2 linked regions of the Canis lupus familiaris genome follow. The main gene of each other region encodes a partner of the protein of the gene in region 2 in a complex. Links are inferred from orthologs where the notes say so. Each region holds a gene or a part of one and is shown on either strand. Other genes may lie near its edges. The genes, in order: PDHB and PDHA1.

Region 1 (16,277 bases), on a different chromosome or scaffold from region 2:
AACTCCATCCCAGGTCTCCAGGATCACGCCCTGGGCTGAAGGCAGGCGCCAAACTGCTGAGCCACCCAGGCATCCCTAGCAATGATTTCTTAATTATGTTAAATCAGAAACAAACGGAGACCAACCTTGAAAATTCCATGAACCGACAAAATCAGTTTAAGCATACAAACACAGCTTAATTTAGCTTAAGCAAATTAGCTTGCAAGGCTAACTTGATCTGGGTAATTTCTTACTTGTACCCCTATAAATGATAAGCAAAACTTGAAGTGTTTCCCAAGGTTAATATGAAGTAATCACTGAAAATGTGATATCATAACCAATCACCATGAAGAATAAACTCACTGCTTTCTCACTATATAAACTGCTCTATTAGCAATATACTCCTGAACCTCACTTCATACTTTGGTTTGAATGTTCCTAGCCTACAAACTGTCTTTTTGGTCTGTGCACAATAAGTTTTTACTAATTACTACCTCAGTGATTCATTGGTTTTACTTGGGCTATTTTGAATCTTTGACAGATATACCAAAAGCATAAGCAATAAGAGAAAAAATTAAAATAAATAAAAATAAAAATAAATTAAAAAAGAGAAAAAATAAACTGGATGTTATCAAAATTATAAACTTTTGTGTAACAAAGAACACTATTATTAGAGTGAAAAGGAAACCCAAGGAATGGGAGAAAATATTTGCATAACATATATATTTGATAAGGGATTAATATTCAGGATATACATAGAACTCCTGTTAATTCAACAACAAAACAAGAACTCAGTTGAGAAATAGGCAAGACTTGAACAGTCATTTCTCCAAACATACAGATGGCCAAAAAGCACATGAAAAGATGATCAATATCACTAATCATTAGGGAAATGCAAATAAAAACAAAGATGAGATACCACTTTACACATATTAGGATGGCTATTAGCAATTAAGCAGAAAATAGTAAATGTTGGTGAGAATGTGGAGAAAGTGGAAACCTTGTGCATTACTGGCGGGAATATAAACTGGTATATCTGCAATGGAAAAGAGAATGGTTATTCCTCAAAAAAATTAATCCAGAATTAACATGATCCAGCAATGCCACTTCTAGGTTATACCCCAAAGAATTAAAAGTAGGGGCTCAAATAGGTATTTGTGAACTAATGTTCATAGCAGCATTATTCACAAATCTAAACATTGAAAACAACCAAGAGGTCCATCAACAGAAAAATGGATAAACAAAATGGGATATATGCATACAATGGACTATTACTTAACCTTAGAAAGGAATGAAATTCTTTTTTTTTTTTTAAGATTGTATTTATTTATTCATGAGAGACACAGAGAGAGAGAGAGAGAGAGAGAGAGAGAGAGAGGCAGAGACACAGGCAGAGGGAGAAGCAGGCTCCACGCAGGGAGCCTGATATGGGACTCAATACCCGGGTCTCCAGGATCACACCCTGGGCTGAAGGTAGCATTAAACCGCTGAGCCACCGGGGCTGCCCAGGAATGAAATTCTGATACATGCTACAATATGGATGATCCTCCAAGACATTACAATAACTGAAACAAGCTAGTCACACTCACTCACACACACAAATACTGTATGATTTCACTTACATGAGGTAGAGCAGTCCAATTTATACAGATGGAATGGTCATTGCCAGGGCTTAGCGGAAGGCGGAAATGGAGAGTTACTGTTTAATGAATAGTTTCCTTTTGGGAAAATGAAAAGGTTCAGGAGGGGTACCTAGCTGTAGAGCCACCTGTAGAGCGTGCAACTTACGATCTCAGGATCATGCCTGATCCTTATCCTAAATTCATGCCCCACACTGGGTGTAGAGATTATTTAAAAGTAAAAAGAAAAGAGAGAAAGTTCTGGAAATGGATAGTGGTGGTGATTGAACAACAATATGCACATATTAAATGCCAATGAACTATATGCTTAAAGTGGTAAATTTTATGTGATATATATTTTACCACAATAAAAACCAATCTAATTAGAATACGAACAAAAGAACAGACACTTCATCAAGGATGGATGGCAGAAAAGCATATGAAAAGATGTTTAATAATTAACCATTAGAGAAATGTAAATTAAAGTCATGAGGGACACTGCTACACATGTATTACAATGGCTAAAATAGAAAATATTGATAATATCACACACTGGCAAGCATTTAGTGCAACTGGATGTCTCATACTTTGCTGGAGGTCATGTAAAATGGTATAGCCACTCTGGGGCAGCCTGGGTGGCTCAGTGGTTTAGCGCCGCCTTCGGCCCAGGGTGTGATCCTGGAGACCCGGGATCAGTCCCATGTCGGGCTCCCTGCGTGGAGCCTGCTTCTCCCTCTGCCTGTGTCTCTGCCTCTCTGTGTCTCTCATGAACAAATAAAATCTTAAAAAAAAAAAATAGTATAGCCACCGTGGAAAAACACTCCAATATAATCATACTGCTCGGTATTTACCTGAAGAAATGAAAACTAATGTTTAAAAAGCCAGTGTTCATTGCAGGTTTATTGGTAATAGCTAAAACTGGATACAAACCAAATGTCCTTCAAGGAGTGAATGGATAAACATGCAACCACTTAGAGATATAAAGAAACGTTGATACACGCAACAACTGGAATGGATTTCAAGAGCATTAGGCTGAGTGGAAATAGCTAATCTCCAAGAGTTACATATTGTACGATTCTGTGTTGAAATATTCTTGAAATAACAAATTATAGTGATTGAGAACAGATTAGTGGTTGCCAGGAGTTAGGGGTGGAGGAGGTAACAATGAGGTAACAGGAGGGAGGTGCTTTGTGGGGATGGAACAATTCTGTATTCTGGCTGTGGTAGTAGTTATGTGAATCTGTACGTCTAATACAATTCTATAATACTACACTCCTCCTACCCCTGCCAGAATGCATATAAAAACTGATGAATGGGGGATCCCTGGGTGGCGCAGCGGTTTGGCGCCTGCCTTTGGCCCAGGGCGTGATCCTGGAGACCCGGGATCGAGTCCCACGTCGGGCTCCCTGCATGGAGCCTGCTTCTCCCTCTGCCTGTGTCTCTGCCCCTCTCTCTCTCTCTCTCTGTGACTATCATAAATAAATTTAAAAAAAAAAACTGATGAATGCTGTATAAAGTCTCTACCCGAGTTAAGAGCATTGCACCGTTATCAATTTGGGGGATTTGACAATGTACTATGGTCATCCAAGATATTGGGCAAAGATAGTTGAAGGTCACATGGATGCTCTTTGCACCAGTTTCACAATTTCTTGTGACACTTAAACTCTTTCAAAAGAAAAGAAAAGAAAAGAAAACTTAAAGAAAGAAAGGAGGGGTGCCTGGCTGGCTCAGAAGAGCATGGGACTCTTGATCCCAGGGTCATGAGTTTAAGCCCCAGGTTGGGCATAAAGAATATAAAAGAAAAAAAAAAAAAAAAGAAAAGGAATAAAGTATTGATACACTTAACGACATGGATGAATCACAAAAACATGTTGCTGAGCGAGACGCAAGAATGATAGAATTCCCTTTACGTCAAGTTCTAAAACAGGCAAATTAAGTTACGGTGATGGCGATCAGATCTGTGGTTGCCTGTGGGGTGATGTGTGGGGAACGATCGGGAGGAAACGTTGAGGGAACTTTCTGAGGTGGTGGGGGAATGTGCATTTTACTGTGGTCGAGGAAGCGAAAAGCTCTCTTTAACACATTTCGCTTGAAATGACCAACCAAAAAACAAAAAAAAAGATTGAAAATTCTGGATGAAGGACTTTCTGACGACTGACAACCCGAAGTGACTTGAGGAAAAGTGGAGGTAACAGTCATCACGCGGGAGGGTTCCTGTGAGAATTACAGGAGCTGGACAGCACTTACTACGATGCCCGGCACACAGTAGGCGCTTCATGCCTCGATGAACACTCCGGTTCGCATTCCAGGGAGCAACAGACGGACAGCACGGTCCGGCCCGGGGACCACCGGGCTCGTTCAGAGCGTGCGCAGGCGACACTTGGCGCCCTACGGGTTTCAGTGCCCGCAAAAGGCTGACCCAACTCTGAAGGTCCCCGCAGCCTCAACCTAACGTTCCTCAGAACCTGCCTTCCGGGCACCGCGCCTCAGGCAGCACCGCTTACAGACGCGTCCCGCCGCGCAGCGCGCACCGCAGCAGCCGCCCGCTCCCGGGAAGTTGATTGGCCCCGGCCCCAGAAACAGCGGTAGTACCGCCCCACGCGCCACCTAGGCCCCGCCCCTCGGCCCCTCACCCGGCAGCGGATGGGCGGGGCACGCAGGCGCCGCGCGCTGCCATTGGCCTGAGCTGGCGCGGGAGGCGGAGCCTGAGGCGACTGCGGTCCTGCGGTGTTGTCATTCGGCGGCGGCTGGAGGACACGGTCAAGATGGCGGCGGTGTCTGGCCTGATGCGGAGACCCCTGGAACAGGTAGGCAGCGGCATGCGTGCCTCCGCGTGGTCTCTGCCCGCCTTGCGCCCCCTCTCAGCGTCCTCTCTCTCTCTTTTCGCCAGGTGTCGGGGTTGCTGAGGAGGCGCTTCCACCGGACGGCGCCGGCGGCGCTGCAGGTAGGTGGCCTGGGCGCTAGCCCGAATCCCGGGAGGGACGCGCCTGCGCCGTGGGGACAGGGACGGCACGGGCCCTGAGGTCCACGGGTTCCCACATCCTGCGTGGGACTCCGAGTGCCTCTGTTGCGACCCAGCGCCGGACACACCAGCAAGTCGCCCCGGCCAGGCTCACTGGAATCTGTGGGCGATCTGAGGAAACTAGACCTCGCGCTTCCTCCCTCAACCGCCCCATTTACATTTTTCAAGTAGAATATACATAACCAGATTTACCATTTTAAAGTGTATATTCAGCGGCAGTACTTCCGTTTACTATGTTGTGAGACCATGACCACCATCGGTCTTCAGAACTTTATCACCATCACACACAGAAACTCTCCACCCCTTAAACACGAACGTCCCATTTCCCTCTTGCTCCCGGTAACCTCTTTGGCACTTTCTGTGCCTTTGAATTTATCTATTCTAGGTGTGTCCTGGAAATGGAATCCTGCAGTGTTTGTCCTTTTATATCCGGTTTATTTCACTTAACATATGTTTTCAAGGTTCATTCATGTTGTAGCATGTGTCAGAATTTCATTTCTTTGTTTAAGGTTGAATAATATTCCATCTTATGCATATATCACATCTTGTTCCTCCATTCTGTCTGTTGATGGACATGTGGGTGTTTTCACCTTTGGGATTTGTGAATAATGCTGCTAAGAACACTGGTGTGCAAGTATCTGAGTCCCTGCTTTTATTTCTTTTGATCATCTCTAGAAGTGGAATTGTTGGATCATATAGTAGTTCTGTGTTCAACTTGAGGAATTTCCTACCCCGTACCCCCTCCTTTTTTTCTTTTTTCTTTTTTTTAACTAGAGGACTCTCAATCTGTCTAGTAAAATAACTTGTAGATTCTGAAGGTAGTGTTTGGAAGTTCCCAGTACCTAGTGAGTGCTCAAAACATAGTTTTATTTAGGCTTTCTTAACAGTTTTCTGTCCCATACTACACTGACTGTGGAAATAAAACAACTGAATAGAATTTTTACTCAGGAAACTTGAGCTGGTCTGGCCAGCAAACAGCTTTTGTTAAGTTTAGGTGCACATTAAGAAAAGCATTCAGTATTTTCATTAACAAATTCAGCCAAAGACTGTGTATGAAAATGTTACTTTTAGAATTCTTTGAACTTTTTTTTTTTTTTTTAGAGATTTATTTGAGAGAGAGAGAGAAGGGGCACAAGCAGGGGGCAGAGATAGAGGGAAAGGGAGAAGCCGATTCCCTGCTGACCCTGCTGAGCAGAGAGCCCACTGCAGGGCTCAATCCCAGGATCCCGGGATCATGTCCTGAGCTGAATGCAGATGCTTAACCAACTGAGCCACCCAGGTGCCCTCCCCTCACCTTTTATTTTCATTTTTTTAAAGATTTTATTTATTTATTTGAGGGGGGGATTCTTTGAACTTTTAAAGAGAAGCCTGTCCTAGCGATAGTTTTCATACCGTATGCTGTAGGCAGCCTAGTAATTATAAAAGGAGAGAATCTCAGTAGTATCTGAAATAATCCTGTAGCTTATTGGCTGTTTTCCCCATACCTGTGACAGGTGACAGTTCGTGAGGCTATAAACCAAGGTATGGATGAAGAGCTGGAAAGAGATGAGAAGGTATTTCTCCTTGGGGAAGAAGTTGCCCAGTATGATGGTGCATATAAGGTAACCCAAGATATGTGAAAGCGATATAAATTGAGGTGGCTGTTTGCCCCCATATACACTTAAAAGTAATGAGATCATTGTGTAATTTTAGGTTAGTCGAGGCCTGTGGAAGAAATATGGCGATAAGAGAATCATAGATACTCCCATATCTGAGGTGAGCCTTCCATCAGGACGCAGACTTTTCAGGGGCATGTTAAAGTGTACACTGTTCTGATTTTTATGGATTTTCACTTGTGTTTGTGTTTTACTTCTAGATGGGCTTTGCTGGAATTGCTGTGGGTGCAGCTATGGTGTGTAATCCTCTTTATGAATCTCATCTAAAGAGATTTTTTTTTAATAATTAAAAAAATTTTTTTTGTATTTTTTATTGGAGTTTGATTTGCCAACATATAGTATAACACCCAGTGCTCATCCCGTCAAGTGCCCCCCTCAGTGCCCATCACCCAGTCACCCCATCCCCCCACCCACCTGCCCACCTCCCCTTCCACCACCCCTTGCTGGTTTCCCAGAGTTAGGAGTCTCTCATGTTCTGTCACCCTCTCTGATACTTCCCACTCATTTTCTCTCCTTTCCCCTTTAATCCTAAAGAGATTTCTTTTAACATGACCTTTTAAAAACATTGAAGTTTGGAGTGGTTGCCACTTTTTATTGCTTTTTAGTTTTTCTAAGATCTCTGTTTTTTATTTGACAGGCTGGGTTGAGGCCCATCTGTGAATTTATGACCTTCAATTTCTCTATGCAAGCCATTGACCAAGTTATAAATTCAGCTGCCAAGACCTACTACATGTCGGGGGGCCTTCAGCCTGTGCCTATAGTCTTCAGGGGGCCCAATGGTGCCTCAGCAGGTGTGGCTGCCCAACACTCACAGTGCTTTGCTGCCTGGTATGGGCACTGCCCAGGCTTAAAGGTGGTCAGCCCCTGGAATTCAGAGGATGCAAAAGGACTTATTAAATCAGCCATTCGGGATAATAATCCAGGTCAGTAGAGTGAGCCTTGGGTCTCTTTTGAACATTGAGGAACTAAGTTGAAATCTTTGCCTGGAAGGAAGCCGTTTAAGGGTTCTAGTTAGGCTTAGACATATAAAATGTTATGATTTACAGATACAGCAAAGACCATTAAAAAGGTGTTGTTTTTGCTTTTCTGACTATATGGGGCCTATTAGGTACCTACAACACCATTTTAACTACAATAGATAAAATTAGGACTGACCAGACTATAGATGCCAGTACCTAAACCATCCTCTCAGGGCTACTGGACACAATAGATAGGAGGCTTCCTAATCTGCACAGTGAAACTTTGCACAAAATGAATGATAGTTATGTATATACATTTGGTCATGTAGTTAGTTCTGTTAAACATTTGTATTTTGTAGTGGTGGTGCTAGAGAACGAACTGATGTATGGAGTTCCTTTTGAATTTCCCTCCGAAGCTCAGTCAAAAGATTTTCTGATTCCCATTGGAAAAGCCAAAATAGAAAGGCAAGGTAAGAGCACTTAGTACATGCTAAAGTATTTGTAATCTAGCTCCTGTATTTATGTTTGTCAAATTCTTTTTTTTTTTTTTTTTCCAAGAAGTGTGGGAGGGCCAGAGGGAGAGAGAATCTTAAGCAACCTCCATGCCCAGCAGGGAGCCCAACCCAGGCTCAGTCTTTTTTTTTTTTTTTTCCAGGCTCAGTCTTAACAATCTTCATGACCCGAGCTGAAATCAAAAGTCAGACACTTAAGTGAGCCACCCAGGCACCCTGGTCGAACGATTCATTCTTGAAGTTCCTGCCCTTTACTTTGGTTAGGAAATTATCAAGTTAAGAAATCCATCATGTTGGGGATCCCTGGGTGGCTCAGTGGTTTAGCGCCTGCCTTTGGCCCAGGGCGCGGTCCTGGAGTCCCGGGATCCAGTCCCGTGTTGGGCTCCCGGTAGGGAGCCTGCTTCTCCCTCCTCCTGTGTCTCTGCCTCTCTCTCTCTCTCTCTCTATGCCTATCATAAATAAATAAATAAATCTTTAAAAAAAAAGAAAAGAAAAGAAAAGAAATCCATCATGTTGAGGCACCTGGGTGGCTCAGTTAGTTAAGTGTCCAGCTGTTGGTTTGGCTCAGGTCATGATCTCAGGGTCCTGGGATCAAGCCCCATGTCAGGCTCTGCACTCAGCATGGAGGGTGCTGAAAATGATCTCCCTCTCTCTCTTTCTCTCTCTCCCTGTGCTCCTCACATGCTCCTGCTCTCGCACACATGTGCTCTCTCCTCCTCTCAAATAAAATCTTGAGAAAAAAGAAATGAAGAAATGTGTTACACTTTCCTCATAAACTTTTGTGCTTTCCTGATTCTCAGTCCAGTAGATTTGTATTTCATTTTTAGGAAGGCTATCACATTCCTCACCTCACTGGAACAGAGTTGAATTTTATAAATGAACAAGAGCCACAATGGCTGTGGAGCAGTACAACAGCTTTAGTTTCAACCTGGTCTCTGACCTGTGACCACTCTGTTTCAGGTACACACATAACTGTAGTTGCTCATTCAAGACCTGTGGGCCACTGCTTAGAAGCTGCAACAGTGTTATCCAAAGAGGGTATTGAATGTGAGGTATGTAGACATTCACTTCTTAAAGAATCAGAAAGTTTCCTTTTAAATTTAAGACCCAGAAATAGGAGTTTGAATTCTGTAACAGGTTAATAACTAAGTGTAAAATCTTGCTTTGTCACTCACTTTTGCTTAAAGCTGGGAACCTTCTTGCTTTTCAAATACCTATTTTTAGAATAGTACTTACTTTCTCAAGCTGGGATCCAGCCTTGGAGCTAGAGGTTGGGACACAGGGAATCTTAGAAATCAGTGTCTAACCTTTTCATGTCCAGGACCTACCACTTGCTAGTTAAACTTGGGCAAGATCTGTCCTCTGAATCTCAGCTGCATCAGCTGGAAACTGAGAATACCTTTACTGTCCCATTAGGGTGGTTGTTACACTCAGTGTAGCACCTGGCACACAGTGACCAGTCAGTTGTTAGTTGTTTTGATGAGAAGGAAGTTAAAGCCCAGGAGGTTAAGTGAATTCTTAACCACTTGTGAAAGATTTTTGTTTTAATTACCATTTCCCATTTTACATTTTGTTCTTGAATAGGCAGATTTGATTTTCCTAGACTCTGAGATTAACAGGAAACAAAACAGGGCGTGGTATTATGGGGATGAGACTATACTTGTGGTGCAGTGGCTCTATAAAGCATATCTGTATTATCTGTTTAGGTGATAAATATGCGAACCATCAGACCAATGGACATTGAAACAATAGAAGCCAGTGTCATGAAGACCAATCATCTCATAACTGTGGAAGGAGGCTGGCCACAGTTTGGAGTAGGAGCTGAAATTTGTGCCAGGATTATGGAAGGTATTTCAGAGAACCTGGTTCTAGAATACTCAAGCTGTAATAAACAGTGTATACCGGGACACTGTATAGAGAGCAAAAGCTAGGGGTGGCCAAAAGTCTTAACTTTTCAATTTCACCTTGGCATTTTTTCCTTTGGGTAAAATTTTTTTTAAAAAAGCCAGATACAATCCCCATAATTAGTATATTCCTTCAGGTTTTCTCTCCTTGGAGAGCCATACCTCCTGTGGGAAGGTGCTGGTGTTCAGTGACTTTTTTTTTTTGCTTCTCTCAGTTGAGCCTCCTTCTCTCCTAGGCCCTGCATTCAATTTCCTGGATGCTCCTGCAGTTCGTGTCACTGGTGCTGATGTCCCTATGCCTTATGCAAAGATTCTAGAAGACAACTCTGTACCTCAAGTTAAAGACATCATATTTGCAATAAAGAAAACATTAAATATCTAGTTTGGACTTGAATTTCAAGTCATTGGGATTTACTTAAAATACTTTCTGACAGTTCACCTGAATTGTACTGTAAGACCTTATGATTCATAAAGCTATCTCTAAAGCAACATCACAGATGTTTTTGTACTTGGAAGAAGTTTAAATGTGCTTGTATGTGGAAAAACTCTCCTCTCCTGCCCTAGACTCCATGGGGGGGGGGGGGGGGTTGGTCTGTTACAGTTATGTTCTTTGAATAAGGCTAACTTAAAATTTTACCCTTTCACAAGGACAAGGTCTGAACATGGCAGAGTTCTGCAGAAAGACATATCCAAAAAGATAACTTGTATGTAAAGATAAAAGCTATTATCTACATTTGCTGTTTGATTGTTTTGATAAGGAATAAAAGAATTCCTAAGTATGACTAATTGTATTTTTATATTCTTGAGGTAATAAATCTGGGGTGGGTGGAGGTCTTAAAATTCTGCTAAGAATTTCTATTAAGAAATGAGCGATGCTGGGCAGCCCCGGTGGCATAGCCGTTTAGCGCCACCTGCAGCCCGGGGCGTGATCCTGGAGACACGGGATTGAGTCCCACATCGGGCTTCCTGCATGGAGCCCGCTTCTCCCTCTGCCTGTGTCTCTGCCTGTGTGTCTCTCTCTCTCTCTCTCTAAATGAATAAATAAATAAATCTGAAAGAAAGAAAGAAAGAAAGAAAGAAAGAAAGAAAGAAAGAAAGAAAGAAAGAAAGAAAGAAAGAAAGAAAGAAAGAAAGAAAGAAAGAAAGAAAGAAAGAAAGAAAGAAAGAAAGAAAGAAAGAAGAGAAAGAAGAAAGAAAAGAAAGAGAAAGAAGAAAGAAAGAAAGAAAAGAAAGAAGGAAAGAAAGAAAGAAGAAAGAAAAAAGAAAGAAAGAAAGAAAAAGAAAAAGAGATTAATGATGCTAAATCACCTGAACTGCCATCACATTTATAACTAACTTGTCCACAGACTCTTCAAATGCCCAATTGTAATAGGGTTCCCTCAAAATTAAATGAAAATTTGTATCAGGTATTTTTCCCACTGCTGAAAAAGAGATATGCTGCCATATGCTGCCCTCTTTAGAAGTTGAGACAGAAAAGATAGATTTAAATTAGTTACAGAAGCATATGAGGGGATGTCTAATTTAAATGGCAAGACAGGATTGTTAGCTTTTAGTTAATTAAGAGGGAAAATATGACACAAAAGAGACATAGGATAGGTGGGAAGGAAACCAGAAATATTGTGTGGATCTATTCTTTGTTTATAAGAATTCCCACTTAAAATGCCTAGCACCAAGCTACAGACAACATACTTTCTTGACATGGTTTATTTTAATAAAAAATACAGCTGAACATTTATCACAGATTAAATGAAACTATACACAATGACATTCTCTCTGCATAGTAACCAACACTGATGTGTGTACTTGAATTTTTAAATGGATTATTTATAATCCTTTAAAGTGCAATTTATTTAAGGGTTTAAGCAAATCATAGGATAAAGGATCTAATAAATGAGTAACATTAAAAAGATGATATATTTGGATAAACCTTTCAAAAAATCAGAATTGATTTTTATGAACGCCAAATTTACTTGTGTGGTAATAATAACCCCCCATAAACCACAAACTTGACTTTATTGCTGAGGATGAAGATCCTTTAATCAGCAAGAGCTTTTTCTGATATTAACATTTCCTGTCCAATACACTCTAACTAAAAGGAACTATGAGTCTAGAGTGGTTGCCTTCGCAGCCCTGAGTTCTATAACCACAATGGTATTCTTGTTAGAACCTAGAGAGGTTCCAGGCTTGACTTGCCCCTGACTATCTGAATGGAAAAGGAAGAACTCAGTTGCTTCTCTCACTCCTCGACATAACTATGCTTTGGACTACAGTGTTAATAATGTCGAAGACAAAATAAGGTAGCAAAAATGGGAGTTACCTAAGAAATAACCAGAAAATGCTTTATAGAGAAATGAGAGGAACATTTCTGGGAGCTGTCTGACATAAAAGGAGGGATTGCAACACAAAGGTCATTCACTGTTCTGAATATTGTCATTGGTTTTTTTGTCCGTTTCCTTCAATTGGTGAAAAGGTTGACTCAGATATGCTGCTGCCCCCAAAAGATGCCCATTAGAAGATGAATAAGACTCCTTTAAAATGGTAATAAAGGAGCAAAATAAGGATTTCTTAAGGCAGAAATGCCAGCCTGACTTCATTCTACTTGAATATTTCCCTCTTGAGAAGCCTCTTATATGAGCATCTGAAAACAGTATGTGACTGTACTGGCTCAGCAATTATTCATCCGAAAAAAGAGTACGTTAGGGGTTGGAGGTGGGAGGAAAAAACAACGAACTTTTCCCTCCAAGTGTAAACACGAAGCTTTAGCCGATCTTAGGAGCACTATGATCACAGGTTTCGGCTTTCCTCAAAGTTCCCTTTTGGAAATTCTGGATGGAGCTGAGTAAGGCCCCTCGACTCACACCATTCACAGCCTGGGGCGGGAGCTGTGTAGGCGCCTCTGTGCTCGCAGGAAGCAAGGGAGCTGCTGGTGGTGGAGGCGGAGGCGGAGGTGGAGGAGGTGGAGGTAATGCGGACATCCCTAGGTTTGGGAGAAAGGGGACAGTCAGATTCATCTCTCCAAACACCCTGCACACATGTTACTGCCCAGGCCTGGATGGAACACGCTTTGATGAGACTGCAAATATTTTCCCACAGAGGGACCAAGAAAACCTGGTCCTGTATGTTTTTTTAAAATGCTGAACAAGAAAACTAGAAGCATCAAAGAGGAATTAATTTCCCCAGATAACAGTCAACTAAGACTGAATATCAAAGATTACATGAAACTATACATAGTGACATTCTCTCCGTTCTCCGTGTAAATGAGGCTCTAACTCCATTTCCAAATTTTAGCGATGATCCCAAAGTTCCATCAGCTGTTTTAGGCAGGTCCAGGGCACCTACTGAGCTAGCAAGTAAAAATAGACATTTGTATGCAGAGTTGGGCTACCTGAATATCAATTACTGATAAAGGATGAACATTTCTTTAGCTGCTCCAACACACACAACATTTGAAGGACGTGATTTAATAGAAAATGACAAACCACTCAGAATTCTCGGCAAGGAACCAGTGCCTGCTGGGTTAAGGGTTCCCCAAGGGCCTGTGTCTCCAATCATCATTTTCTATTAGGCTGCATTAGAAATATAATAGGCTAATAACTGTTAACAGTGCAAAGCAAGGGGCAGAAGGCTCTTTTCCCTGGCAATGGTATTCTCAGGGATGAGTCTTCATCAGCACCTTCTTTCCACTGCGGCCTAAACCAGGAACAGAATGGAACGGTAATAACCCTACGTCTTTGCTGAAGCCATCAGGAGAGACTCTACCCTGGTGGGTGAGGAGAAGGAATCTGGACACGTATCTAAAACTTAGCTTCCAGGCACATGAACACTTGGCAGTTGACATTTATAGTTCTGAATAGATGAATGAATTATTCTCCTAGGACAAGATAAAAACTGAGTACAGCAAAAGACCTGCTTTAAAGAACTTGCTTGTGCCACAGAGTTAGCTGCCCCATTTCCTGTGAACCTTGCAGCACTTGGTGACTCCCCTGTTTCTAGCCTTGCCCTTGGTCCATCCCAGGGCTACCCTAGCGAGACACTCTGTTAGGTGTTCTTCCCCTCCAACCTGCTACTGAGCTGTGATGGTAACAAGTAAGCATACCATTACCACTTGAGTTTATATGGACGAGTGGTTCAGGATCACCAATAAAATACTTCGCTAAGAGATCCTTTTTACCAAGTGTGCCACATAATGGTTCAAAGTCTTGTATTTCATAGAAAACCACTTACCTTCGTTACATCTTTTACTAAAACCGAAGGCAGCTGAAATTAAAGAATCACACAGATACACACATTCATGCTCTGCAATCTTAGAATTCTCAAAAATGAAAATATAATATGAATAAACGTTAAATACAAACAAATGAACAAAATGTAATTCTCACTGGTTCTATACAGTAACAACAAATGAATGATGTTCTGTTATGTTCTCTGCCAGGATGTCTCCTGGAAAAATGTTCCCAGCTTCATGTTACAAGGTTACGAAGATAAAAAAGACTTTAAACCCATAATAACTGCTGAGGTGAGAAGAGCAGGGAGGATAAGTGTGCTAGAAGCATTCCTCTGAGGGAGTTTTTGGAAAGTGGCCAGTGAAATCCCAGTGGGGGTGGGGGTGTGTCTCTGAAGGCTCTTGGGACCTAGCAGTAGCACCAAGAGTGCCCCCGAGGAGCCAGCAGGCTCCGATACCCCACCACCCAACAGCCAACAAAGGACAGTAGAATCTGCACTTGACACACAGGGCCCACTGTGTTCCAGAATGGGCTCCAGAATTTCTGCCTGTCAGCTTTGTGCTTTGACCGTGGAGAAGAGTCACTGCAGGTAACAAGAAAGAAGACAAGCTCTGGGCTACGACAGCACTTGCACCCTGCTAAAGGCAGAGAGTGACCTGTCCAGAGACCTGTCACCCTTCCAGTCCAGGATTCTGGAAGGCTAGGGGTGGGTCTCAGCAGCTGGACCTGGATTTCGGCTGCCTCTTGGCACAGAACAAATCTGCTTGGACTTCGCAAGGAGCCAACCCTCGACTTTGGCTTCATTATCAGCCACTCAAAATTAAAAGTGCAAATTGACTCTCTCAGAGCTTGGAGTTGGGGGTGGTGTTCAGTACATGGATCTTGAGTTTCCAAGTAAAGGATGAGATTGTTAGGACTTTAAATGAATCTCTTTGAATATGTAGGTAGTGTAAATAAACACACGGTCCCAAGCATCACAGAGTAACTTGTGCTTATAAAGCAAATGAGATGTCGAGGTTGTACAAAAGGAGAGGCTGCTCATTCAGGGATAAGGAGCAAGGTCACCCTGACATCTGCTCAGAGGGCCAGACCAGACCCAGAGGGCCTAACTGTCCCACAAGGCCCACTCTTCCTCACTGGGCCTGCGGACAACTAGGGCAGATCTTGATGTATAATCAGGGCAAGGCCAAATCTCATCTTGCCAGCTCAGAACACTCTAGAAGAGGGAAGGAGGTCCCCGAGTTAGAAGGTCAGTAATGGAGGAAGTAAGAACACAGACCCAAGGATTCAGCCTCTGATGACAGGCCCCACCAGGGTTTTTTTGGCATTTTCTTTTTACTTCCTCTATAGTCCACAAGATTCCTTTAAAGGTTCGTTGGGGCTTAAGCTACAACACATTCTACCAGTTGCAATATTGATATGGGTCAAATTCAGAGCTGGCTATTTGGTCTGAGGTGGACCTGGGAAAAGCTGCCTAATGCCTGAGTGCCACTGACTCATCCCCCACCAAGTACCCAATAGTCCTTATCCGCAGGCCACAGACAAGATCAGGCAGATTCCATGTAACATCAGTTGCTAACTAACTAGAATTTAAGTAAAAATTTGAAGGGGAAAAAAAAAGCTTGGTTGTCAACTGAATTCACCCATCTTTGAAAAATATTGGCCTGCTCCCAAATAGTTCTCTTCCATCATAACTACTCTTATAGACAAAAATCCCAAAAGCCAACTACTTTTATCCTCCCCAGAATCCCATCCACCAAACTAGTGAGAACCTGGCAATACAGTAGAGGCCCTGGAACAGACCACAGACTGTTCCAGAAGAACATAGGTTAGATCTAGGGTGGAATACTTGGCCAGAAACATCTTCACCAGCCTCGGGGAAAGGATGTCTGGGGGGAGGTCCCCTCTGGGGCCAGTTTTAGCAGTGGGCAATCTATAGGTCTCTGTAGATCACGAGTTCCTTTGTGGTCCACGAATAGAAGTAGGGAGACCACGTGGCCATGAGACCAAGACCAGAGCTGCTAGCCACCCTCAGAGGGAACAGAGTACAGTGACCCCTGGAAGCAGACAGCCCTCCCAGCTCTTGGCAACTGCCTTGGTATTTTGCCTCAGATAGATGAGGAGGCTGCCCTCATGTCTGAACTCAAGAGTTATTAGGGATGCTTAAAAGAGAGCTGTTTTTCCCTGCTGTCAGTTATAAAATGTCAGTGAGTTGTCTTCCTGTAACTAAGAACTGAGTTGTCAATCGGCTAACACTCTTTCCCTTCATCAGAGTAATAGCAAACCAATATTTTTGCTCCATCAAGACTCTGAGATCCTACCTTCCCAAATTAAAACATAACAAAATACCATGCAGTTGATTTGCAGGTTTTAGAGTTGTATTTTAAAACTATAATCAGAGTGG
Region 2 (16,145 bases):
TCTGAATCTAAAATAACCTTATATAATATTCACACTAAGTGTGCAGTAACATCTTTTAATGCAACACTGTTGTACAGTTGTTGTACAAAACACATGCAATTACTACCTTAGCCTATATTCTTTTTATGGGCTTTTCTTCCTTAACAAATTTGAGAACACAAAGACCCTTAGAGTTGGATCCCACTGAAGGTGTAACTATCTATTATTAACTGATAGACTTAAACTTGATCCACTGATTTGCACCCCGAACTTCAAAAGGCGGATCGCTGCTGTAAATGTGATAGCCTAGTTCTTCCAAAGGCGGTTCCGGATCAGCAGTGGCAAACTGGGCAGCATCCTCAATTTCCTTCCTCACTTCAACATCAATTTCCTATAAATCAGATTATAGTTCAGGAGGTTACTGAGTAAACAGCAGCATAGATACAAGCAGGTCTACTTGGAACAGGTTGCTAGTACAACTAGAACTCTCCTAGGAATAGAAGTACTAACAGGGGCTCTTTATGAACCGAACATCCAAAGTATATTTTTAGGAAAAAACAGCTCCTGGGTTTCAAGGTTTTGCGAATATGACTGACCCATACTTTCCCACTGACCCAGGCAGCTCCCCCAGGAGTGGCAGCTCTCTGGGTGCAAAAAAAAAACTGGTTGCTGGAAAAGGCGAGCCTACCTTTAGTTCCTCGACACTGGCCAGGTTGCTGTTCACCATTCTATCCTTGAGAAGCATGATAGGGTCGCTCTTACTTCTTACTTCCTGAATCTCCTCTCGTGTACGGTAACTACAGGAAGACAAACAGTAGGTAAGGACAGCTCCAGAGACGTGGGCTTCGGACACAGAGCGGTCACCGGGGGAGGGTGCACATAGAATACAAGAACTCTTCCATGAAAGATACTAGAATCTTAGAGGCAAACTCTACCCTGACGATTCCCCTGGCTTCTCAGGTGTTCTGAAGAGGAGGGGCCAAGCTTTTATTTGCTTTTTTGATCCAGATGTAGGATCTGAAGGAAGTGGTAGAGCCACTGCCTGTGCCCTCTCACGTCACTGGCAGGTAGCAGAATACCAAGCAGGAAATCAGGCTTTAGGAGCCCAGAGAAGTGAGGCCAGTGAACACTTGCACAGGTTTTCCAATTCCTGATTCTAGAAAAGAAGCCCCACGGTGTTCGAGAGTCAGTTAAGAGCGCCAACCGCCCATACACACAGTTGAAAATCTGCAAATGTTGACTCCCGAAAAACAAGTCTTATGAATAACACTTTATTAACACGTATTTTGTATGTTACTTCCATGTATTAGTCTATATAGTGTGCTCTTAACGGAAGTTGGAAAGAAGTGTTATAGTCAAGAGAAATGAAAAAAGAAAATCCCTGGATCTGTGGGCCCATGTTGTTGAAACCTGTGTTGCTCAAAGGTCAACTGTACATACATCCTTGTCTTATATCTTCCAACCACCACTAAAAGGGCTCTATTGTTTTTTTGAAAATACCAAGTACATTTTTCCATCTAAGTTGTTCTTTATAACATTTCTCTTAGAATACCAATCTACTCTCAGGCTTGTTAGGGCTTATTGACTAAATCTACTACTTTTAACTCTGTCACACTCTGGGATGGCAGCATTACATGCCAGGGTCACTAAGTGGCAAGTAAAACTATCTTCCTAATGTAACTTACCTTTTTTTTGACCGATTGATTTCAATATACTGAATATCCCACGTGCCAGGTGGCCTCACTCCATACCAGCCAAGTTTTCACATTTCAACTCTATATTTGGGTAATGCCTACAAAAGCTACATGTCCCTAAATATATATATGCTATACCATTGACCTGTTTTATCCAACAGTTTCTCTCTGTAAAGTAACTTCTACCCATAACATCACAAATCCCAAGTCACATGCTCTCCCCTCTAAGCCAGCCAGGTGCCCCCTTCTCTGCAATTCATTACTGCTCATGCTAACATGTACATACTACAAATAAGGATTTTCCGAATGCTTCCAGGCAAAGACTCAAATAATTACTCGATACCAACAAATTCACCGCATGAAGCCCACTGGTGTCTGGCTTCCAAAGCAAATGTTGAAATGCTTTGCTTTTTCATATGAGTAGCACCATACAAAGCCCACCCACCCAGGGACACCACACCCAGATTTCCCATGACCATACCTGACACCAGGGTCGCTCATGCTGTGTCCATGGTAACGGTAAGTCTGTAGCTCCATCAATATGGGCCCCTAAAACAACCCAGTGAGACGATGAGCACAGCACATCCTTTCAGAATCAAAGATATTCTCATTGGATTTTCTGTAAGTTGGCTGAGTTGTCAAGAATTTCCTATTAGCTGACTGACTTAAGAATTATGTTCTCCTTTCTGATACTTCTAGTTTATATGGAACTTAGTTGCTTTTTATTTTTTTTAAGATTTTAATTATTCATGAGAGAGAGAGGGGCGGGGACCCCAAGATCACGACCCGAGCCAAAGGCAGACCACTAAGCTACCCAGGCACCGCAAGAACTTAGTTTCTGAATCAAAAAGGCATTCAGCATGTTCTAGAGCCCACTGATATTATTTCATCAGCACTGCCTTTGACATAGAATAATCCTATAAAACAGCTGAGATTTAATGCAGAAAAACCCATTAAGGCAGGTATGACAGCAAGGAAGGGGATGGTTTTTATCTTCAGGGCCAATAAAGCTAGTTTTTCCCCCTCAGGCACATATGAATGATCTACAAGCATCTGGATTCTTTTAAAAAGGTACAGAAAAATACAATACAAAATCCCACAGAATAGGACTAAAAGCAGACCTCTAGATGTGCTGGAAAGTGTGGAAGGGAGAATTAAAACTAGGCTGGGTAGGTCAATCTCCACCTCACCTATAAGGGCTGACAACCAATCCGGCACAGATGCGGCTAGTGTGTAACAACGTTGGTGGTAACAGACAACACATGATGATTAACCCCAGGACTCGGCTGGCCAGCCCGACCACACCCAGGACAGTTTGCTCCTCCTTCACTAGCCCCCTTCCAGAAGACAGCTTTGAACACTGAGGGGAAGAGGGTGGATCTAGGATCCCTGGGCAGTGTGGTGTAGTAGTTGGGGGTGGGGTGCAAAGGGAGAGGCCCAGCTCTCAGTCCAAGAGCCTGGGATCCAATCTGGGCTGTCATGTATAGTAGCTACGTACCCTTAAACTGCTCTGTGCCTTAGTTATTGTACAGATGAGGGACCTAACTCAGGGGTTGTGTTGGTTCACACATAAGTGCTTACTGCATCACCTGACCCAGGTCAATCCCTCAATAAGGATTTATTTTTCACCTATTTTTCTGTTCTGCGCCACCCAGGAGCTATTGGAAAACAACAGTGGGCTAGGCTAAGGGGGTTTCTAGACTCTCCCCTAATTCCAAGATGAGGCTGAGAAAGTCAACACATATAAACCAGTATATATAAAATTATAAAATAAAGTCAACACTATAAACCAGTGATCCTATTTCCACGTTAAGTTTGTATTCCACATGTTCTTTCAGGAACTGGGGAAGAGGGGAATGATATCCACCGCTCAAGTCTATACCTCTCTAGTCTTGGAGTCCCGACGTAGACTGCTGAGCTCTCTGCCACCTCAGCCATACTTGATTTCATTCCTCTGTTCTCATGTGCAGCACCCCCCCACATTTCCCTCCCTGCTCCACCCTCGTTCTCCATTTGCATCACTGGTAGCCCAGTCTTCCCACACAGGGGTGTCATGGAAAGGTAAACCCTAGGGGCATGCTTTCTGGGCTGTGAACACCAATTCAGGGAGAACATCATCCTTTCCACTTGCTCTGCTGGCATCTAAGCCAACCTCACTGTTCCCTTCTCCCTCTACTGCTCTACCTGAAAGGTCCAGATTCTCAGGACTGAAACAGCAAGGTGAAGATTACATACTTTAACCGTAATATTTAAATTATGGAAGATGAGCTTACACAAAATGCCTATTATCCCAGCAAAGTTCTGTGCTGAGCACTGGGAGGGGGGTCCCCAATATGCTCACTCAAGGGGCTTATTATGATTAACAGGGTGGCAGGTGGGGGTGGGTGGGTAGAGGTTGGAGGCGCATAAATAAAAATAACCAAACCACAAGGCAAAATGCTGAGGAAGCACTCAAGAGGAAAGATTCACCCCAAACAGGGGCAATGTGGGATGTTTCCTAAGAGGTAAGCTATCAAGACCACAGTATTTACAAAGGGACCCAATTCACTGGACTCTGCTCCTGCCTTCTACACAACTAATTACCAGCAACCCCTGAAGAGCTACAATAGACACATGGGAGACATTCTTTTAAGATAAATGTCAATGGACATCTCTAGCCCAGAGGGTTGAGTCTTACCTTTCCAGATCTACAGTAGGCGGCTGCAAACCTTGTTGCCTCCCGGACACACAAGATATCCATTCCATCTACCTGTTCATACACGGAAAGGGCAGAGCATAAATCAAACCGTGTCAAACCAATTTTACAGGACCCGTTCACACGCTATGAACAGAGAACGCCTGTGTGTGTCTGGGACTGTCAAGGACCCACACAGAGCTATCACGCTGCGAAGGGGTAGTCCCGGCTGCACACCAGGCGCCCTTACCCGCAGCCCAGGAATGAAGTCGCCTCTCTTGTAGTAATCAGTGCTGGCTGCTGCTCTCTCAACAGACGTTCCCATTCCGTAGCGGTTATTCTCACAGATGAAGATACACGGCAATTTCCACAAAGCTGCCATGTTGTAAGCTTCAAATATCTGACCCTGGAAGTATGTATAAACAGTTCAAGTAGTTTCATTTTGCTACTTTTCTCTAGACTTCTTCATTGTCCCCAAAAGCTGCTGCTCTTCCTGGCACGAGACCTTTCATAAAACATGAAAAGCTTCCTTCACCTTCCACAGCGGAGCTTTTGAGGCAAAGGAGTGTGTTGGTGAGGGAGGAAGAAACGGCAAGCATCATCTCTTTTTGCAACCGAAGGAAGTGACAAACCAAATAAATTCCACCACTTGTTTCGGTGGGGCCAAGGCAGTGGTGTAGAATATAGTAGGAAAAGAGAAACATGTAAAACTTTGTGACTACCTAGTTTTATGCTTTGTTATAAATCCTAGGAGACCCACTGGACAACCAGAGTGAACCAATGACTGAGAATCAGCATCCGGAGCAGGGCCTCAGAGTGTTGTCTGTGGAATGGTGAGGACTCCGACCGTGACAGGAAAAGTATAGAAAGAGCCAGGGCTCAGAAACCATGAGCCAATGCCATGCTCTCCAAGAGAATGAGTCTGTACATTACAGGATTGGTATAAGAACAAGTCTGCACTGGGTTAAATTGGAAAAAGGTCCTTCACCCACAGGGTGTGAAGCACTGAGCTGGAGGCAGAGGAGAGCTTCTTCCTGGGTGTGTGCCCGTATTAAGCACTTGTGCAACGTGCCACAAAGTATACCTGTAATCTGGCCATAAAACCAAATTCTAGCTTGCCCCAATATGACTACTTCAACTACTAGGCAATAGACTACTTCGCTACAAATGAACTCTGACTAAACACTTTGGAGATAAAACTGCAATGGTTATTGCAAAGTCAAGAGACACATACTCACCTGATTAGCAGCACCATCGCCATATAAAGTCAAACAGACCTCATCCTTTCCATTATACTTACAGGCCAAAGCAATTCCTGCTCCCAAGGGCACCTAATATTAAGGACAACCAAGAAAAGAACCACAGAAATCCATGAGGGGAGAAATTAATGCTCTGCATTTCAAGTTCTCACCAGAACTTAAAACAGAAATTACACTGTCACTAGAAACTCTCTACCCTACCCCCAAAATTATAATCAAACTGGTAAAGCAACATGAATAATTCTTCTATTTCAACCATTAAATAACACTTCTGTAAAGATTCAATGACTAAAGAGCTAAAATATGAAACTGTTTTTTAACATACAGCAAAGTCACATTACAAAGTGAGCCAAACAATCCAGTTATAATTTTATGTTGTTACTTCTTTGAGTTTTTTTAAGATTTTATTTATTTATTCATGAGAGACAGAGAGAAACACAGGCAGAGGGAGAAGCAGGCTCTCTGCAGGGAGCTCGATGTGGGACTCAATCCCGGGTCTCCAGGATCATGCCCTGGGCCAAAGACAGGTGCTAAACCACTGAGCGACCAGTGATCCCCCAAATTCTAGTTAATTAACAGAGCATCATATTGGTTTCAGGAGGAGAATTTAGTGATTCATCACTTACATATCACACCCAGGCTGATACTTCATTATTCACTAACTGATGAGAACAAAAAGGACTACATAACCACAAAAGCTGAAGTGATGTCTAATGTGGCCCCTAAGATCCTGATCACCTGCCTTTCCTCCTCAGATACCCTCAACCGCAGTCTACAGCAGGGAGAGGAAGGCCTAAGCGGATGTGACAAAGCAATCAATGTACTTAAACATAATAAAGGTATAGGCCGCTGCTAGGGGCTCTTGCTTACATATAAAACTAAACACCTAAGAGAATTTTAAATCACTATCCAGGGATCCCTGGGTGGCGCAGCGGTTTGGCACCTGCCTTTGGCCCAGGGCGCGATCCTGGAGATCTGGGATCGAATCCCCCATCAGGCTCCCGGTGCATGGAGCCTGCTTCTCCCTCTGCCTATGTCTCTGCCTCTCTCTCTCTGTGACTATCATAAATAAATAAAAAAATTAAAAAAAATATCACTATTCAAATCTATTTATTAACTGATAAAATGGTAGGCTATGAAGCAATAGGTCTTTTAAAGTCCACTCAGCCTCCAAAGTACTAAAATATTTCAGAGGGAAGTTCTCTGGGGGATGAAACATTAAGACATGATCCAGGGCCAGATCTAGGAAAGCATGCAATCCCCTCATCCTTGTCATGGATTACCTGAGCTCCAACAATGCCATTACCCCCATAGAAGTTCTTGGCATACATATGCATCGATCCACCTTTTCCTTTAGCACAACCTCCTCTTCGTCCTACAAATGGCAGCATGTGCACATACACATCAGAAAGCAAATAAACAAAAGAAAACCACACCCCAAGTATCTACTTAGAGGCTCATCAACCACTAGAACTCACAGGCTAGTTCAACTCTATAAGCACCCATCCCTCTAGGCAAATATATACTCCACCCTTATCTCCCAGTCCTTGAATGAAGGTCAATCCAGGCCAATGTCTTTGACCTTCCCAGCTCCTTGACCATGGGGTTTCCTTTAAACATCAGCATGGTACCCCGGCCCCCCCGCCTTTTTTTGGCGCTAGTTACAAACATCTTCCGATTTATCCTACATTGGTACACTGAACAGTTCAAGAGTCAAGGGGGACAAAGGGAATATTAAAAAGCTTCCTAGAATTTAAATTGCATACAATGAAATACTCCTGCTCCACTTACTTTCTATGACTGCTAATTTCTACTGGCATGCTTGAGTGACAAACAGTATTATGATTTTACGAAGCTAACATTTTAAAACTTTTACCTAAAGGCCAAATGACCTCAAAAATGGTAAGTTTACTCAAAAGCACAACAGAGGTAACAGAGAACCCAAAGAGAGAGATTTTTTTTTAACTCAAAACCGTTTTAATTAAGTTGTAATAGCATCTTAATATGAGAGATCTGCAAATTTATTTCACTGATTTCCCCTTTTTGAAAAATCAATAGCAAACCTGTAAGCTCTGCGAGAATTTCTCTGACAGAAAGGCCACGAGTAAAGGTAAAGCCATGAGCCCGATAGGCTGTGATAAGATGGTCTGTGGGATTTATGCCAGCCTCCAGGCCCACACAACAAGCTTCCTGCATAAAAGGAAGAAGCAGCAATGAATCAATACAATACACATTTCTAGACAAAATCCTTAGACTATTATGAAAATTTAGCCTAGTAGAACTCTTAATAAGCACAAAAGGAGCTTGATTTTTCACTGCAAACAGAATAGAAGGTAAAGCTCAAGCCAGAAGCTACAAATTAATAATCCATAGATGTACTATTTCAAGCCCATGCAGTGATTTGGAGAAAAATCCTGAATATTAAATGTTACTTTGGGGGGAACATTAATATTAGGGGAATTTCATATGAAAATCAACACTTCTGTCCTCTCTTGAAGGACCAACAGGAAGCATTAACCCTGTATTTCCATATGGCACCAACTGGCTGGAACCAAATTATGGTGTCCCCTAGTGGGAAGGGCCTGGCCCACTTCATCCAGTTCACTACCAGTCCCACTTTCTTCACTAATTTATTCTACCCAGCTGGTCCCCATAGGCATTTTAATTCGTAACCCTTGGCCTAAACCCACAAAACAAAACACAAAGTGAAAAACCCTTTCCCCCATGAGTATATGCACTATAGGTGATCACAAAGTCATCAAGGTGCAAGACACCAGCAATGGGACGTGTGCATGAATTCTTTAGTATGAGCTTAGTAGCGGGCCTCAGCATGCTCATCTTTATTCTGACAGGCAGGCCTCAAATCCTTCAGAGGCATAAGGCAGGGTAAAAACCAATAAATACAAACCATACTTAAACTCCTACATCTAACATTGTTTTATTACAAAACCACCACTCACCTGACCATCACACAAGTGACAGAAACCACGAATAATTTTCTGTTTATACAGCTGATCTGCCTTTAACTCCATTCGGCGAACAGTCTGCATCATCCTATAGTACCTGAGCCCATCCTCCCTGGTGAGCACTGTGGTGACGGGAGGGCCCTCTTCTAGCCGGTGAAGATCGCATTTCTGAAATGGAATCAGTTAACTTCCAGCTACTGCAATGTAAACACTGACTACCCACTTAGAGATCTAATATCTTATTGCAGTAATATTTAACTCAAAAACCAGCAGAGGAGCACATAAGAAATGCTGCATATTACTTCTGACTCCTTTCATCATAAAGCTCATTATGTGAGAGGATCTAGTTTTGGAGGCAAGAAATCTAAGATGACTTTCACTGAAAACCCATGGAAGTCAAAGGAGTTACAGGCTGAAAGACAAACTTTGAAAGGAATAGTCTAAGAAAATTTTAAGATTGATTTTTATTTATTTATTTATTTATTTATTTATTTATTTATTTATTTATTTATTTATTTATTTATGAGAGAGAGAGAGAGAGAGAGAGAATGAGCTGGGAAAGGGGCAGAGGGAGAGGAAGAAGCGACTCCCCTCTGAGCAGGGAGCCCAATGGACCCCTGGGTCATGACCTGAGCCAAAGGAAGCCAATCAACTCACCACTACCCAGGCACCCCAAAGAAACTTCTTATTGAAATGTTTTACTGAAACACATTCTAAATTTTAGATTAAGTCTTTGTTTTAGCCCATACCCTGTCCCCTCCCCGAAACACAGCAAGCTGCTGAGTGAATTCTAATTTTTGCTAAACTTTTTTGAACCTCTGACACTAGAACATTTAGAATAAAATGGTGAAAAAGCATGAATATCAAAATGTTCTATTCCAAAGGTAAAACTGTGTAAATATGTTTACCTGTGGAAAAATTATTAACACAAAGCAAAACACCTCTTACCTTAATTTCAAATGTAGCATCATTTGCAAAATTACGGGAGGCCACCAACACTCTGCTTGCCTTGAAAGACCAAAATATACAAATATATCAGTATGTTTTATTGTCAGGTATTATAAATCAGTTCTCAGAATGCAATCCTGGAATTTTCCTAAGCCCCAACATATTCACGGGTCTATCCCTCCATTCTCTTTACGGTGTTGGGATCTTGCCTTCAAAATGAATCCATGTTCTGGCCAATGAACCATGATCATACCCACCTCTGAAGGGTAACAGCAAAAAGAGAAAGGGAGGCAAAATCAAACCCATCCTTTTGGGCATTTTGTTTCCAAAGAAATTACAGTGAAAATAGAATAAATTTAGTGGCCAAATTAAAGAGATAGCCTAGATAGCCTGTGGGCTTTATTTCTGCTATTTGCAGTCATAACCAGACATTGAACAAACTGTCAGAATTATTCTTCATATAAAACTATGATCCAATTCCTATTTCAGGCAAACCACTACTCTATGAAATGGCTCCATAAGAAAAATATTTTAAACTACTCAAGGTACGAGACATGTGTTAGTGAGAAATCTAGAAGACAAAAGAAAGATACTCAATGGACTCTACGGACATTGTATAATTTGAACAGCTCAGATCTTGGACAGGCTCCTCCAGAAGCCTCAGAAGGGAGAGAGATTCTCTGCAACCAGCTTTCCCTTCTTGATGTTTGGGTGGCTGCTATCGCTTGGGTGGTAAAAAGCTGGGGAAATGTCTCTGTCACTCTTTCAATTGAAAATACCTGCTCACAACAGAGGTACTCTACGTGACAGCTAAGGTCCAGATTAGACCGCAAAACACTTAACCAATTACAATTACTGTACTGTCACATTGTGCCATGTTTTCAAACACTGATTATAAACTGACATAATGGGACGCCTGGGTGGCTCATCGCTTAAGCGTCTGCCTTCGGCTCAGGGCGTGACCCCAGAGTACCGGGATTGAGTCCCACATTGGGCTCCCTGCATGGAGCCTGCTTCTCCTCTGCCTGTGTCTCTGCCTCTATGTCTCTCATGAATAAATAAAATATTTAAATAAATAAATAAAACTAAAGACCTTGTTGAAACACTGTATTGTACACCTGAAATTACAATGTATGTCAACTGGAATTCAAAAAAACTTAATAAAAGTAGAGACCAAACCCACTGAGAAGATCTTAAAGTTGAAACCAACAATGACAGACTATATATTAGACAGTGAAAGAGTGCTCCTTACTTTGAGCCACCCCTCTTTCTGGCTATTTTGTTTTACCTATTGCCTGCATATATGGCATTAATTATACTAAGGCACAGAAAAATACTTTGAAGAATTATCTGTTAACTGTAGATTATGTGTGTCTGTGGGCCCAAACCCAGTTTAATAGCTCCCTATCCTTGCAACAGAGCAAATCAGGTAATCAGTGTTTCCATAAACTGTAATTATTGATGAGATGTCCCCAGAGTGCTCAGTGCACTTCAGGCTCTTGGATCTAATGTGCTTATTTATCAGGTTTCAGTTGTGTTAACACAGGCTACGCTACTTAGAGTGTTCAAAGTGTTTGTTTTAAAATCATCAGAGACCAATACTTTTTTGAACCTGTACTTCTTAATGCTAAAAAATCATTGTTAGATGAAAGGAAACACACTTGAAACCGTCATGAACTGGGTAAGTTTCTTATTCCACAGATTGCCAAGTTCCCATTCTGGGTTTGACACTTTGATTTGCAAAAGTGTCTTTAAAAATAAGTAAGCATACCAGATGTTACTCCCATCAAGACAGAAACAACCACTTTCTAAGCACAGGTGATACAAATAAGTTTAAGGAATTTGTCTTTCAAAAAACTCATTGTATAAAGTAGGTGTTTAATATCTTAGAGAACGTAAGGGAAAATGTTGTACTGTCACTGTCTCTAATCGTTTTTATTTTAAGATTTTATTTATTTATTCATTAGAGACACAGAGACAGAGACAGAGAGGCAAGAGACATAGGCAGAGGGAGAAGCAGGCTCCATGCAGGAAGCCCAATGTGGGACTCAATCCCGGTACTCTGGGATCACGCCCTGAGCTGAAGGTGGAAGCTCAACTGCTGAGCCACCCAGGCATCTCTCTAATGGTTATTTTTAAAAAAACTAATTAAATAGAAGAAATGTTATACATAGGAATCCATTTCCGCTGTAATAATCTTTTCTCTCAATAACAATTTTTGACTAAATGAAGTTATATTCTACTCTGATCTTATCCAGTTAACAAATTACTAGAACTCAAAATTCATTTTTTTAAAAATATTTATTTATTCGAGAGGGGGGTGAGGGGGGAGAGAGAGAGAGAAAGAGGCAGGCAGAGACACAGGCAGAGGGAGAATCAGGCTCCATGCAGGGAGCCTGACGTGGGACTCGATCCCAGGTCTCCAGGATCAGGCCCTGGGCTGAAGGCAGCGCTAAACCGCTGAGCCACCTGGGCTGCCCTCAAAATTCATTTCTATTTGATTTGGGCAGTAGTATATGATTTTTTGAAGAGACCAAAGTTTTATGGAGATGAAGCATTTCATGCCAACGCATTGCTGGAAGACTGAAAAACACAACCAGAAATATTTTGGATAGCCGAGCAAATGAGCCTCTAATATTAATGGCTTCTCTCTGTTCCTAGGGACACAGAGATGACAGTAATTTGAAACGCATACACTAATTTTTTTCTGTAGAACATCACCAATTCTATCAAAGTTTTTCCTTTCTACTACAACCCTTTAAATTTAACATGATACAAAACTAAGATTCTCATATAAAGTTGAACACGTGTTTCCATTACTTACATTCAACTAAAAACTGAAGTTGTGGAGATTAAATAGCCTAGCATCTGGCACATATTAAGATCTCAAGAAATGTTGGATCTATCATGTGATATACAGAAATAACACTGAAATGAGCTTATCCTTTAGGTGGATCTAGTTGCAATTAAATGCTAATGACTGATGAACCAAATTGTGTTTTTTTTCCCCCCAATTATGTTTTGTAGTTATTTCAGTCAATGGGATTCCCAAAAGGGTATACTTCCTACCTTTCAATGATTTCTGCCCACAGTAAGCAGAACTGCCACAAAGTCCTGGAAGTTACTAGAACCTGAACTGCAAGTCAAGCTTGGCTACAGTTCTACCCAGTAATACTACCTCCCCATACCTAGAGGTCAAAATGCTGGAAGGCTTGAGGCACATCTAAAAACTGGAGCCATAAATAGTGCTGACCTCTAACCCCACTCTCCCAAGCACCAAAGCTGTTTTCTTTAGCTACTTTTACCCTAAGCGTGTGCGTGTAAGAAGGGCAATTTCCTCCGGGTTCTGCTTGACTGCTCTTGGAAGTGACTGCCAAGAAAAACTCAACACTGTGGGAAAGGAGGGGTGGTGATTTCTGGTGAGCATGACCCAGACTTAACCCTCCAGAGCTGGGTGAAGGTGTTTCACAAATGTATACCCAAGGGGGCACTGAAGTAACATTTTTAAAAAAGATTTTATTTATTCATGAAAGACAGAGACATAGGCAGAGGGAGAAGCAGGCTTCCCGTGGGGAGCCTGATGTGGAACTTGATCCCAGGACCCCGGGATCACTACCTGAGCCAAAGCCCTACTCTCAACCACTAAGCCACCCAGGTGCCCCTGAAATAACATCTAACACAGATAGCACCTACTATATACCAGGCGCTATTTGGCAAGGTTTACATATATGTCAAGAGTTTAAGCTTCAGGACAACCCCTTGGGGTGAATACTCGTATTATCTCTTTAGAGAGCTGGAAACCGAGCAAGGGAGATTTAAAACAAAAACCTGCCTAAGCTCACAGAGCTAGTAAATGGTGAGGCAGGTGTTTGAACAGGACCAGTTTCTGAAGTTCACGTTCTTAACACACCACGTGGCCTCTTAGTCAAGAAGAACAAAATTAGGAAGACTTCAAATGAATGGGCAGGATCAACTGGGGACTCGTGGATGCCCCAGGCCCCCTTTTCTGTCAGCAGTAAATGAACGGGCATTTCTGGAGCACACCTACTGTAGCCAGCGCCGGGAGTCACAGCTGACCTCCCCGTGGACCTGGTAGAGCTCCCCTCCCCCCTTTTGCGGCTGATGGGCCCAGCAGCCGCTAGTCCCGGAGCAGGGAGCCGAGTGCCAGGCGCGAAGGCAGAACAAAAGGCCCGCTACCCTCCGGCCGCTCCGCAGCGCCCTAAGAGGCACCACACCGCGCGCCCCCAAGCCCTGGCCGTACTCCCGCGTCGGGCCCCGCCTCGACCCCGCTCGCGCCCTACCCCGGGCCGCCCATGCTGCTGCCTCACCGGCTTCTGGGAGACGCCCGACAACACGCGGGAGACAGCGGCGAGCATCTTCCTCATGGATTGCCGGCAGCGGCGGCGGCGTAGGCGACTCCCAAGTACACAGGCGGCGCGGCCCCGAAATCTCCCAAGTCTCCTTCAGGCGCCCGGAGCGGACGCCACGCCTTAACTGCAGCACGACCGACGAAACGGAAATTCGTCACGCGCCGCGCCAGGCCGCAGGCCAACCAAGCGGGCTCCCAGTTGCGTGTCCCGCCCACCGAAGAGGTCCGCGGCCGCTCATTGGGTGTTGGCGCCATAGGGGGCGGGCACTGGGGGGCTCGTTGCGTCATCACGTCACGGGCGGGCGGGGATGCGGGAACTTGAGGGCGTCCGCCTGGGAAAGTGGAGCCCCGCCTCCGGAACCCCGCGGGAAAATGGCTTTTCATGGAGTTTTGCGACTCAGGTTAGGCGTGCACGGCGGGAAACCGTACGGGCCACCTGCCGTGCGCCCAGTCTCGCCGGGGCTGCACTTTGGCAGCCTTCGTTCAATGCACGGCAAGATGAAGACTCATGGCGTGGTCGGAGCCGAGACGGAACCTCTGGTTTCTGTAAATGGTTCTGCTGCTAACTTGTCTTTAAGAGATCATGTAACAGTTGTAAAATGCTGCCCTGTGTACTTGAGTTACGATCTAAAAATCAATTCCCCAAGTAAATATTGAGAGATCAGCTGGGAAAAGCCTTTAGCTCTAGTTACTGGTTCGCGAGCTCAACGGGAGTTAACAGCCGCATGACACAGCTGATAATAAAAGCACACACAAAGAAGCAAACACAAAAATAAGTCTAGGCTCGATTCAGTGAGTTCCCAGGTCAGAGAGCTGACTGTGGGCCAGTGGGGTTACACCTGGGATACTAGGTTCAGATTTGGGGTCCCCATGTAAGGGGAATGTTGTCAAAAATGGGTGGAATCCAGGGGACAGTGGTCAGAATGGTGAGAGGCTGAAACCACAATTTGAACTCCAAGAACTTGAACCGACTCAAGGACTCAAGTCACCTTGTTTACACTTCAGGTCCCTCACGGCTTGGCTGGGATCTGCTCCATGTCATCTTCACTCTGGCACTCAAACTGATGGAATAGCATCTGTCAGCAACTTACTGTACCTACTGTACCGTAAAAGGCAAAGGGATCATTTAAACTGGCTCTCAGGGCAGCCCTGGTGGCTCAGCAGTTTAGCGCCGCCTTCAGCCCAGGGCGTGATCCTGGGGTCCCCGGATCGAGTCCCACGTCAGGCTCCCTGCATGGAGCCTGCTTCTCCCTCTGCCTGTGTGTCTGCCTCTCTCTCTTAAAAAAAATAAATAAATAGGGATCCCTGGGTGGCGCAGCGGTTTGGCGCCTGCCTTTGGCCCAGGGCGCGATCCTGGAGACCCGAGATCGAATCCCACGTCAGGCTCCCGGTGCATGGAGCCTGCCTCTCCCTCTGCCTGTGTCTCTGCCTCTCTCCCTTTCTCTCTCTGTGACTGTCATAAATAAATAAAAAATAAATAAATAAATAAACTGGCTCTCAAAGCTTCTACCCAGAAGTGACACATGTCATGTCCTCTCAATTTCCATAAACCAGAGCTAGTCACACAACCGTATCTGAGTTCAACAGGTTGAAGTATAATTCTCCTGTCAGGAGGAAACCCAGAAAAGAGGCTGAACAGTAAAACCATAGAGGATTAGATACATCTTTACACATTTTCATACCAGTCATGTTCCAGGAGGAAAAGTTATTGTGAGCATATGTGTGAATAAAATGGTTTCGGTTGAGTATAACAATCAATTTTTTTCTAAAATGAGAATTGTCCCAGGAGATGATTCCTTATAGGTGTCACCAAAAGTATTCAAAGCAAAAGTTCAAAGCAAGACCAGATGTCAGAATGGCTAGAAGAAGGACTTCAACACTATCAGGAGCCTGGACTGAGAGACCTTATTGATGCCTTCCACCTCTATGACTAGGTTACAGTGAGAAGAGCACTCCACAAAGGAGTGAGCAGGGCCGTTAAAAGGTAGGGATGGAAGTGACATGCTGCCACTGACTGAATGTGAAGGGTGAAGAAAAAGGAAGGAAAAGGGTCAGAGATTAGATATTTGGGTCATGAGTATCAGCTGGCCTGGATGGCCTCTTGTTGGCCTGGAGGTGGTGGTGGAACACCTATCTGTCTGTCTTTGTTCCCTAGGAAGGTGGAGTTGTAAATCTGGAACATGTGGCTAGAAATACACATTTGGGACTTATTTGCACAGGGGTGATGCTGATTTGTGTGTCCAAGAGCAATGTAGA

What was found.
Region 1: the proteins of PDHA1 (region 2) and PDHB are in contact, whole or in part, in a crystal structure (PDB 3EXE), measured with the Homo sapiens proteins. The link is inferred for Canis lupus familiaris from reciprocal best matches to the Homo sapiens genes PDHA1 and PDHB. Residues at the interface, in NP_000275.1 of Homo sapiens: Ile87, Arg88, Gly89, Phe90, Glu137, Leu138, Thr139, Gly140, Gly148, Lys149, Gly150, Gly151, Met153, His154, Asn164, Gly165, Ile166, Val167, Gly197, Ala198, Asn200, Gln201, Gln203, Gly228, Met229, Gly230, Thr231, Arg235, Ala236, Asp296; in NP_000916.2 of Homo sapiens: Glu59, Gln62, Tyr63, Ala66, Asp84, Pro86, Ile87, Ser88, Glu89, Met111, Phe115, Gln118, Ala152, Gly153, Val154, Ala155, Ala156, Gln157, His158, Pro297, Val323, Arg324, Val325, Thr326, Gly327, Ala328, Asp329, Val330, Met332, Pro333.

Annotation. Positions count from the first base shown.
Region 1 is NC_049241.1:32,433,975-32,450,251, forward strand, and holds PDHB (pyruvate dehydrogenase E1 component subunit beta, mitochondrial), read left to right. Parts: upstream 1-4,300; 5' UTR 4,301-4,363; coding exon 4,364-4,405; intron 4,406-4,488; coding exon 4,489-4,542; intron 4,543-6,113; coding exon 6,114-6,221; intron 6,222-6,312; coding exon 6,313-6,375; intron 6,376-6,475; coding exon 6,476-6,511; intron 6,512-6,912; coding exon 6,913-7,198; intron 7,199-7,593; coding exon 7,594-7,704; intron 7,705-8,706; coding exon 8,707-8,798; intron 8,799-9,452; coding exon 9,453-9,594; intron 9,595-9,886; coding exon 9,887-10,032; 3' UTR 10,033-10,432; downstream 10,433-16,277. Other genes in the region: PXK (PX domain-containing protein kinase-like protein), read right to left, coding at 12,410-12,627, 13,875-13,907. UniProt on the Homo sapiens protein: The pyruvate dehydrogenase complex catalyzes the overall conversion of pyruvate to acetyl-CoA and CO(2), and thereby links the glycolytic pathway to the tricarboxylic cycle.
Region 2 is NC_049260.1:15,413,930-15,430,074, reverse strand, and holds the start of PDHA1 (pyruvate dehydrogenase E1 component subunit alpha, somatic form, mitochondrial), read right to left. Parts: upstream 14,029-16,145; 5' UTR 13,906-14,028; coding exon 13,849-13,905; intron 10,553-13,848; exon of another isoform or gene 10,010-10,552; intron 9,581-10,009; coding exon 9,521-9,580; intron 8,741-9,520; coding exon 8,567-8,740; intron 7,797-8,566; coding exon 7,670-7,796; intron 6,982-7,669; coding exon 6,890-6,981; intron 5,679-6,889; coding exon 5,586-5,678; intron 4,754-5,585; coding exon 4,598-4,753; intron 4,423-4,597; coding exon 4,351-4,422; intron 2,223-4,350; coding exon 2,155-2,222; intron 777-2,154; coding exon 668-776; intron 371-667; coding exon 206-370; 3' UTR 1-205. UniProt on the Homo sapiens protein: The pyruvate dehydrogenase complex catalyzes the overall conversion of pyruvate to acetyl-CoA and CO(2), and thereby links the glycolytic pathway to the tricarboxylic cycle.